2 linked regions of the Sus scrofa genome follow. The protein of the gene in region 1 interacts with the protein of each later gene in a pairwise test. Links are inferred from orthologs where the notes say so. Each region holds a gene or a part of one and is shown in the gene's direction. Other genes may lie near its edges. The genes, in order: ARL15 and UNC119.

Region 1 (4,601 bases):
TTACAGAGAAGTTACGTAACACGCCTGAGGTCACAGAACTGGAAAGAGGTAAAGCTAAGATTCAAACCCGGGCAGCTGGCTATAGCACGTATACTGTTAACAACTATACACAAAACAGCATGATAAATACCAGCATATAAATATGCATAAGTGCTTCAGCCACAGAGAGGAGGGCACTATCTTCAAATTAAGGGTAGTTAAGAAGTGTTTCGACATAATACCCTCTGTGATTTTGAATGTTATCATGTTGAATTGATACATCAACTTGAGAATTACACCTCTAAAACAGTCTTTCCATCCATGAACATCACATGTATTCAAGTTTTAGATTTCTCTCACAATCCTATGGTCGTAAGGATTATGTTTAGGTGCCTTTAGAATTTCTACTTTAAAGGTTATTTTAAAATACATCTCCTGGAGAAAAAGGAACCCTATTGCACTGTTGGTGGGATTGTAAATTGGTGCAACCACTGTGGAAAACAGTGTGGAGATTCCTCAGAAAACTAAACGTAGAACTACCATTTGATCCAGCAATCCCACTCCTGGGCATCTATGCAGAGAAAACCATGACTCGAAAAGACACACATACTCCAGTGTTCATTGCAGCACTCTTTTCAATAGCCAAGACATGGGAACAACCTAAATGTCCATCGACAGAGGAGTGGATCAAGAAGATGTGGCACATATACACAATGGAATATTACTCAGCCATTAAAAGGAACGAGATACTGGCATTTTTTAGCAACATGGATGGACCTAGAAATTATCATGCTAAGTGAGGTGAGCCATACCATGAGACACCAACATCAAATGTTTTCACTGACATGTGAAATCTGAAAAAAGGACAGACTGAACTTCTTTATAGAACAGATGCTGACTCACAGATTTTGAAAAACTTATGGTCTCCAGAGGAGACAGTTTGGGGGGTTTAGGGATGTGGTTGGGTTGTGGGATGGAAATCCTGTGAAACTGGATTGTGATGATCATTGTTAAAAAAATTAAAGATAAAAAAATGAAAAATAAATAAATAAATAAATAAAAGTGTTCTTTCCAAAAATAAAAAAATTAAAAAAATAAAATACATCTCCTAACTTTGTTGCTAAGTAACTAGAAACCCAATTTTATATTGATTTTTAAGGAGTAACACGATTTTTTCATTTTAATAACTGATATGTAGATTTGTGTTTTACACACACGACCACAATCTGCAGATGAGCTGTTTGCTTCTTTCCATTTTTATTGTTTATATTTTTGTCTGATAATGCTGTCCAGGGCCTTTGCTATAACAGCACAGAAGCAGTGATAATTGGCACCCTTATCTTTTTCCTGACTTTAAAGCAAAGGCTTTTAAATGTTGTATCATTGAATACACTTGTGTAAGGTTTTTGTAACTATCCCTCACAATCTGAATATATTGCCAACCTGGAATGTTGTTAAGGGCTGAATTGCCTACTCCCACCCCCAAATACACAGGTTCAAGTGCTAACCCCCGTACCTCAGATAGTGATTGGGTAGGCAGATAGGGCTGTTGAGGAGGTAATTAAGTAAAAATGAGGAGGTCATGGTGGACCCTAAGCCAATTTGACTGGAGCCTTTATAAGGGGAGGAGCTTTAGGCCGCAAAGAGCAGCCCACGTTAGGGGGGTACGCATCGGTGGAGGTGAGGACTCGGAGAAGGCGTGTGTCTGCCGGCTGGGGAGAGAGGCCTCAGAAGAGACCAACTCTGGAATAGCTGTAAGATTGGAACTTTTTGTTCTGGATTGTTTATTAGAACTTGATTGTACACTGTGGCGTGGCGCTTCTGTAGGAAGGTTTTAAAATTGCTATTTCTTTAATGGTAATGTGTCTTTTTCACTTAAAGTTGTGCACATTTGTGGTGTTTTGGGTCTGAAAATTGGGTTATAGAAGCTTTGCTAGAATTACTTGATAATTTCTTCCCACCAGCATTACTGTTTTTCTTTCTTTGTTTTGAAACATCTAAGTGGGTTTTATGTCTCCAGGTTGATATGCTAATTTCCTTTACCCAACTGCTTTTCATTTACCTTTTTGGTGATTTCCTTAGCTTTCTTCTACTCCTACTGAATTTACTCTTTGCTTTTAGGTTCTACCTGGTATCTGTGAGGTCAAACCCTTTCCAGTTTAATCTCAGAAGGAAACTTTCATGCTGGTCTTTGTTCAGGGCACTGGTGGGATGGTGACCTGGCTTTGCAGAGTGGGGCAGATCAATGGGCTCAAGTGAGTCTTTAAGACTCACAGCTGGAGTTCTCTTGTGGCACAGTGGATTAAGGATATGGTGGTGTTACTGCTGTGGCTTGAGACGCTGCTGCAGTGTGGGTTCAAAATGCCACAAGAGTGGCCAAAAATAAAAATTAAAAACAACAACAGCAAAAAATAAGACTCACGCCAGTTTGGTATTTTCAGCCTCAGGTGCTTCTTTTCCCTGAGCTGCTGGGAGCCCTGTAGCGGGAATCGGCTTGCTTCTCTCTGGCTTTCTCCACTCAAGAATTGAGGAGTCAACCTTTTCTCTGTTCTGTCTTGTTAACTGCCACCTCTGTAGCCACTATCTTACAAAATGGTTCATCTCTCATAAGCTCATGTCTCTAATTCTATCTTTGTGGATCTCATTCTTTTACTGCCAAATGGAGGTGAGGGAGTTGTCTTAATACTTCTACAGCAGTCAAAGGGGTGAAGAGTTACTCTGTAAATAGGGAAGGAAATTCTTTATCTTATTAATATGTGGTACTGGGAACTTTATTTCATCTGACTTTTGCTGTGAGATTTCAGGATGTTGATTGTGGGGTCAGGTGGATTTGTTAACTTTTCTCTTCACTCTCAGAGCTGCCCATCTCAGAAGGTACTAAGTATGTTCAAGCAGTGACACAATGACACAACAGGGTTGGTTGTAGTAAATGGCAAAGTCCACATGCTTAGCAACCCACCAGTCTTGAATGGTGTAAGGGCTATATGTAAGGTACCAAGCTAGGCTACCGAAAGAAGTTCACATACCACAAGCAGCTGACAAGGAGAAGCAAAATTCAAGAAAGGACTCATGCAGTTGCCTGGCGTGTAATGAGCTGATAGTTTGCAGCTGTCAGCTCTTTCAGGCTCTGCTTCAACCTTGGGGTTGGTACTTTTCTTGGGATTCTTCCTTCTTGAAGTTGCCCCCTCAACCAATGACGAAACAAGTTGCTGGTACAAAGGTCTAGCTGTTTCTGCCCAGCTTGGTCGTCTCTATTGGGCAATTTTTGCTTGGGAGTTCCCAGTAGAGGCTTTGTTAGGTGTGTATAATGTTCTGTGGTTACTTGCTACCCCCATCTTAATCCCACAGCTATTTTCTTTCACAGGTGCTGTATGTTAATAAACCTTCTGTATTTCTAATTCTTTGTCAGTGTTTGCTTCCCTGAAGGCCCAACTTGTACCAACATGAAACACAGTATCTATAAAGTCTTTGAGGAAGAGAAGATGTTCAGAAAAATAAAACAATAAAAACAATTTAAACAGTAAAAAAGTGTCTATCATTTACAAGAATGATCTGAATTGTCAACTTTGAGACTGTAAAAGATATGATTTGGCTTTTGGGGTCATAGGTGTTATGAAGGCAGGCATGTCAGTTTGTTTACAGAAGGTTTTTAAGTTGTAATTTTTAAAAGAAATGACTAGGTCTTCTTGGGTTATGGGAAGGAAATCCTGTAAAATTGGATTATTATCATTATATAATTACAAATGTGATAAAGTCATTTGAGTAATAAAAAATGACTAGGTCTTTTTAACATTATTAAAGTTCCTAGGGAATTAATATATTACATTTCATTATCTTGAACTATGTTTTAATATGTTCTTGATTAGGGTATACTAAGGACATATTACAATCTGTTTCTTGAAAACAGACTTCTAATCCAATGGCAATTGGTTTTTAAGGTTTGGTTAATTTCCAGTCAGAATTGATCTTTTAATATGAGTTTAAGTGGCTGATCTCAGTCTTGAAAGCATCTTTATTTTTCAAAAAGCATTTTTTCACATGTTGAAATAACTATCAAGAAATAAGGTGGTTGTGTGTGTGTGTGGTTTTCTGTTTGTTTGTTTTCAGGGCTGCACCTGTAGCATATGGAGGTTCCCAGGCTAGGGGTCCAGTCGGAGCTACGGCCACCGGCCTACACCACAGCAACACAGGATCTGAGCCGTGTCTTCGACCTACACCACAGCTCAAGGCAATGTCAGATCCTTAACCCACTGAGGAGGCCAGGGATCGAACCTGCAGCAACCTCATAGTTCGTAGTTGGATTTGTTTCTGCTGTGCCACAACGGGAACTCCACAATGAGCATATGTTATAGTTGATGATAAATAGCTGATTTTTCTGGTTTACCGTCCTTATTTCCTTATAATATGGCTATCAAGTAGGGCTTAGGATCTTCGTTATTCAAAGACTTTCAAAGAAGGTAGCATGCTATTCTTTCATGCAAGATAAAGTAGTGCAGATGTTTCATTTCACAGAAGATTCAAAACTACCCTAAACATTGTACAATTATAATCAGATTTTATCCTTCAATATTCTTAGACTAGAAAAACTAGTGGGGTTCAAAAGTTGTGGAGAGTGAAAGACT
Region 2 (4,360 bases), on another chromosome or scaffold:
CTGCCCTGTTCCCCACAGTCCTCTTGCACTGAGAGGGAGCACTGGGGGAAAGCCCTGGGTTGGATTCTAGGGCTCTGCCCTCCAGGCCCTCAGGGAGAGCCCTAGCACTGCTCCCATGGAAAGGGCTGGGCTCCTGTCACCTCTGGGGCCTTCTCCCTTACTCCCCTTGCTCCAGGCTGGCTACACCTGTTGGGTGCAGCCTATTGCTGTGTGTGGCAGAGGTTGCCTTTATCTTTACCTAGAGGCAGTATGGTGCGGTGGGGAAAATTCCGGACTTGGGATCAAACACATCTGAATTCAAACCCTTGCTTCTGCCCTTATCATCTGGGGAGCTTTGAGTAGGCCACTTAATCCTCCCTGAGCCTCAGTTTTTCATTTAAAAATAGCACTGATACCTCCCTTACAAGGTGGTTGTGAGTATTAAATGGATGAGCATGTGAAAGTGTCTGGCATATTCTAGGCTCTCAATAAACGTTGGTTGAATGTGAATTGGAATTATATGAAGTATGAGTGTAACTTTCATTCATTTGTGTTTTAAGTAATGATTTCCTGATGCCTGTCCTCCTGGGCTCACTGGTCCACTTTGCTTCTACTGGCTATGTGCCCTTCCTGCCTCCCTATCTTGGAGGGCCCTGTGGTGGCTAGAATCTTGTAGGCTATTGTCCCTCAGTGTGTCCTGGCTTGTCTAGCAGGGGGTTTGGGAGAGAATAGCTTTTACTGGTGTAAGCCCTCAGATACTAACTAATTCATAAATTCAAAAATAAAATAAAATTGACCCTTTAAGAATGCAGGGGTTGGGACACCCACCTTCCGGTGCATTCAGAATCAGAGTATAATTTATCATTGGCCCTGGGTATTAGCAGTTTCGCATCTGCAGTTTCACCCAACCTTCCATTGTGTAGTATTTTTTATTGGAAAAAAGTGCACATATAAGTGGCCCTACACACTTCAAACTCATGTCGTTCAAGGGCCAGCTGTATTGAGCACAGGCTGCAGTGGGCATTATGCAAGGTGCTGAGTGGTATTTTAGAGAACGGATAGGACCTCTGCTTTTAAGTAATTGGTCTTTAAGGGGGAAAGAGTGAACAAACGAAACTAATTTCAGATAATGCTTTAGAAAGAAAAAATAGGCTGATCAGATAGTGACTGGGGGTTGGTATTGGTACTTGAGATTGTGAGTCTGAGAGGGCCTCTGAGCAGAGGTATTTGAGCTGAGACTAGAAGGACAAGAGGAGGCCTTCTGGGGGAAGAGCATCCCAGGCAAAGACCCTGAGGCGGGAACTCTTTTGAGGGGCGGAGAGAAGGGCGGAGCGGCTGGAGTACAGCGAGTAAGGAGAAGGTAGCCTTAAAATTCCTACAGATAAAAGTGGGAACAAAAATGAGAGAACCTGGGAGCGAGCCTCAACCCTGCCCGCGTGAGTAGCTCAGGTGGGCGGGCGGTGGGCGGGGCCAGTTCTGGGCCCACCCCGGGGGCGGGGCGGTACCTGGGGCCCCGGCGGGGGCGGGGCTGCGGACGCTCCCCCTTTGCTCCAGCCGGCGCAGGCAGCCGCGGCGGCAGCAGGCGAGCCGCGGCCCCGCGAGGCCATGAAGGTGAAGAAGGGCGGCGGCGGGGCCGGGACGGCGGCGGAGCCCGCTTCAGGGGCCTCGGGCCCAAGCGTGGAGCCCAAGCTGGAGCCGCAGGCGGAATCCGGGTCCGGGTCCGAGTCGGAGCCGGAGGCAGGCTCGGGGCCCAGGCCGGGGCCGCTGCAGAGGAAGCAGCCGATCGGGCCGGAGGACGTGCTGGGGCTGCAGCGGATCACGGGCGGTGAGCACCAAGCGAGGGAACGCCGCCGGCAGGCGGGAGCTAGAGAGGGCCCTCGAGGCGCGCGGAGCCCGGGCCCCCGCCCCCTTTCCCTCCCTCCCCTGCCTCCCCTCCCCCACCCGGGTCTCCCTGGCCGGTGTCCCCTATCCTTCTGCCTCTGGGCCTGAGATCTCCATGTACCTCCTTCCTTTGATATCTCTCTGTGCCCCCTTCTTTCTGTAGAGATTTCTTTCCACCCGACTCTTTCCTTTTTGAAGAGTCTATCCCCCTTTTCCAAGGGTGGAGGTGGGCAGCAGCTGCTACTGTGACCCCTTCCCCACAGTCCTCAGAACCCTGTGAAGATTTTCTCTGCAATAACGAGGAGGGGGGCTAAGGGCAGTCTGTCCTCAGTCTCCACCCTGGAGGCTTGGTGGAGGCAGAGTTACTTGGGTGGTATCAAAACCCTCCTGTCTCCCTGATCGTTAATGCCCTCACCCTGGACACCCCAGGAAGTCTGAAGCCATCCTCCTACCCCGGAAAGAACCTGAAGAGGAAACTTCAGTGGGTTGGCTCTGGGCTCTCTCAAGGGAGTGGGTTAATGAATGCCCCCCCCCCCCCCCGCGCCACCCCACGCAGCCTGGACTAGGGCCTGACCTCTTCTGGGAGGCCAAGTCTCCACTGTGGCTGAGTTTCTGAGCTCGACCTGCCTAAGCTGAACTTCCAGCTTTGTCGTGTAATTGGCTGTATGATCTTGGGCTCATAACTTCACCTCTCTGCACATATTCACCTGTAAAATGGGGATAATAACTCCTACCTTACAGAGCTATTGTGAAAATAAATCCTCTGATTTTGCACCGTGCCTGGCGTTGTGCATGCCCTGTAAATAGGGCTCTTTTATCAATAGTACTGAGGGCCCCACAGGACTGCTCATAGCTGCTGCTGAGAGGCAGACAACTGGGCATTCAGGGCAGGGGAGGGGGTCACCAGAGGCAGGCAACAAGGACCAGGAAGTCTCATGGCAGAGGCAGTGGTTGAGCGTCAAAGAACACAGCATTTGGAGAGGCAGTGGCTTTCTACCTCGACCTCATTGATCAGTAACCCTACCCTGGCTCCCTCTGTGACAGTAGCTCTTGGGGCCTCTCGGTGGGGGTGGGGGGCAAATGCTGGAGTGGACCTTAGCTCTGGAGCTGCAGGAACGGCAGAGCCCGGGGCTTCCAGTCAGAGCTGTGAAGGGGACCTGACAGCAGGTCTAGGCTTGTGCATCTGGGTCCCTGGGGGACCAGCCTCTTCCTCCTCGCTAAGCCAGGCAGCCATTCTTGGCTGGGCCCCCAGAGCCGCTGAGCTGCCTTGCCTGAGCCGGCGCTGGTAGAGGGAAGGTACCTGGACTAGTCTGATGTTGGTGCCAGTTGGACTGTCATTGGCAACAGCAGCATTTAGGGTTCAGGTTAGTCTGGGGCAGAACTTCTTTTTTTTTTTTTTTTTTTTTTTTTTGCTTTTCATGGCCACATCCACAGCATATGGAAGTTCCCAGGCTAGGGGTCGAATCGGAGCTGGAGCCACAGCAATGCAGGATCCGAGCCGTGTCTTCGACCTACGCACCACAGCTCATGGCCATGCTGGATCCTTAACCCACGGAGCGAGGCCAGGGATCGAGCCCGCATCCTCATGGATATTAGTCAGATTCATCTCCAATATGCCACAATGGGAACTCCTGGGGCAGAAGTTCTTTACTGAGGGTCTAACTTGTCCAGGTCCTAGGTAACTTTAGAGGTTATTTTGCAGCTATGGGGGCTTCCAGCCCATGTACATTTGTCTCGGAATCGGGAAGAAATTCATAGCTCTTTGAGATGTGACACCTGTGGGGGATGAGTAGAGGAGAGGGTTTCACAGGAGCCCTTTCCTTTGCAGAAGTTGAGAACAGGGCTCCAGGACTCTCCCCCCACGGCCTCTTCTGACCCTAATCACACAGGTCTGAGGTTTGCTCTGCCCGGATTACCCAGCGCTGAATCCAGCTTAGGAAGCTATTTGTGGCCGAGAGGAAGGGAGCAGTTGTGTTCTGAACCCTTGGCTACGCTGCCCCTTATCTGGGCTGACCCCGGGTCCCTGGCCTTATCCTTCTCTGGTAGAGGGAGGGAGTGGATGTGGTGTCCTGAACCATGGGCATCCTTGTTTCTCACTTCCTCTAAGGACAGAGGGGTTGAAAGGTTGAGTTTGCAGCAGGAGAGACTGAGGCCAGACTGCAAGGCGTTCTCAAATGAGAGGAGAGGTCCCAGAAGTTAGAAAACGGGGGACGAAGGAGGGCTTCATGGGGAGCTGGGACTTGGGCCACTAGGATGCCGTTCCCACTTTTGTCATATCCTCTTCCTATGCCCTACAGCTTCCTTCTGCAGCTCTGGATTAATGCTTACTTTCTGTGAAAATAAAGTGTGTACAGGGTGAGGTAGGTAGGAGCTGCCTACTTCCATTCTGCCCCCTATCCTCTCCCCACCATGGGCTGTGGTGGACAAGCTGTTGCTCAGGCCCCTCCATAAGCCTTCTAGTCTTTGCTGGACCCCATCGTGCCAGGTGGCTACCTGGAGG

Evidence for each region.
Region 2: the proteins of ARL15 (region 1) and UNC119 interact in binary tests that used the Homo sapiens proteins (3 or more experiments, as listed by UniProt). The link is inferred for Sus scrofa from reciprocal best matches to the Homo sapiens genes ARL15 and UNC119.

The regions. Positions count from the first base shown.
Region 1 is NC_010458.4:33,572,483-33,577,083, reverse strand, and holds the start of ARL15 (ADP-ribosylation factor-like protein 15), read left to right. Parts: upstream 1-1,535; 5' UTR 1,536-1,550; coding exon 1,551-1,733; intron 1,734-4,601.
Region 2 is NC_010454.4:44,804,466-44,808,825, reverse strand, and holds the start of UNC119 (protein unc-119 homolog A), read left to right. Parts: upstream 1-1,491; 5' UTR 1,492-1,584; coding exon 1,585-1,804; intron 1,805-4,360. UniProt on the Homo sapiens protein: Involved in synaptic functions in photoreceptor cells, the signal transduction in immune cells as a Src family kinase activator, endosome recycling, the uptake of bacteria and endocytosis, protein trafficking in sensory neurons and as lipid-binding chaperone with specificity for a diverse subset of myristoylated proteins.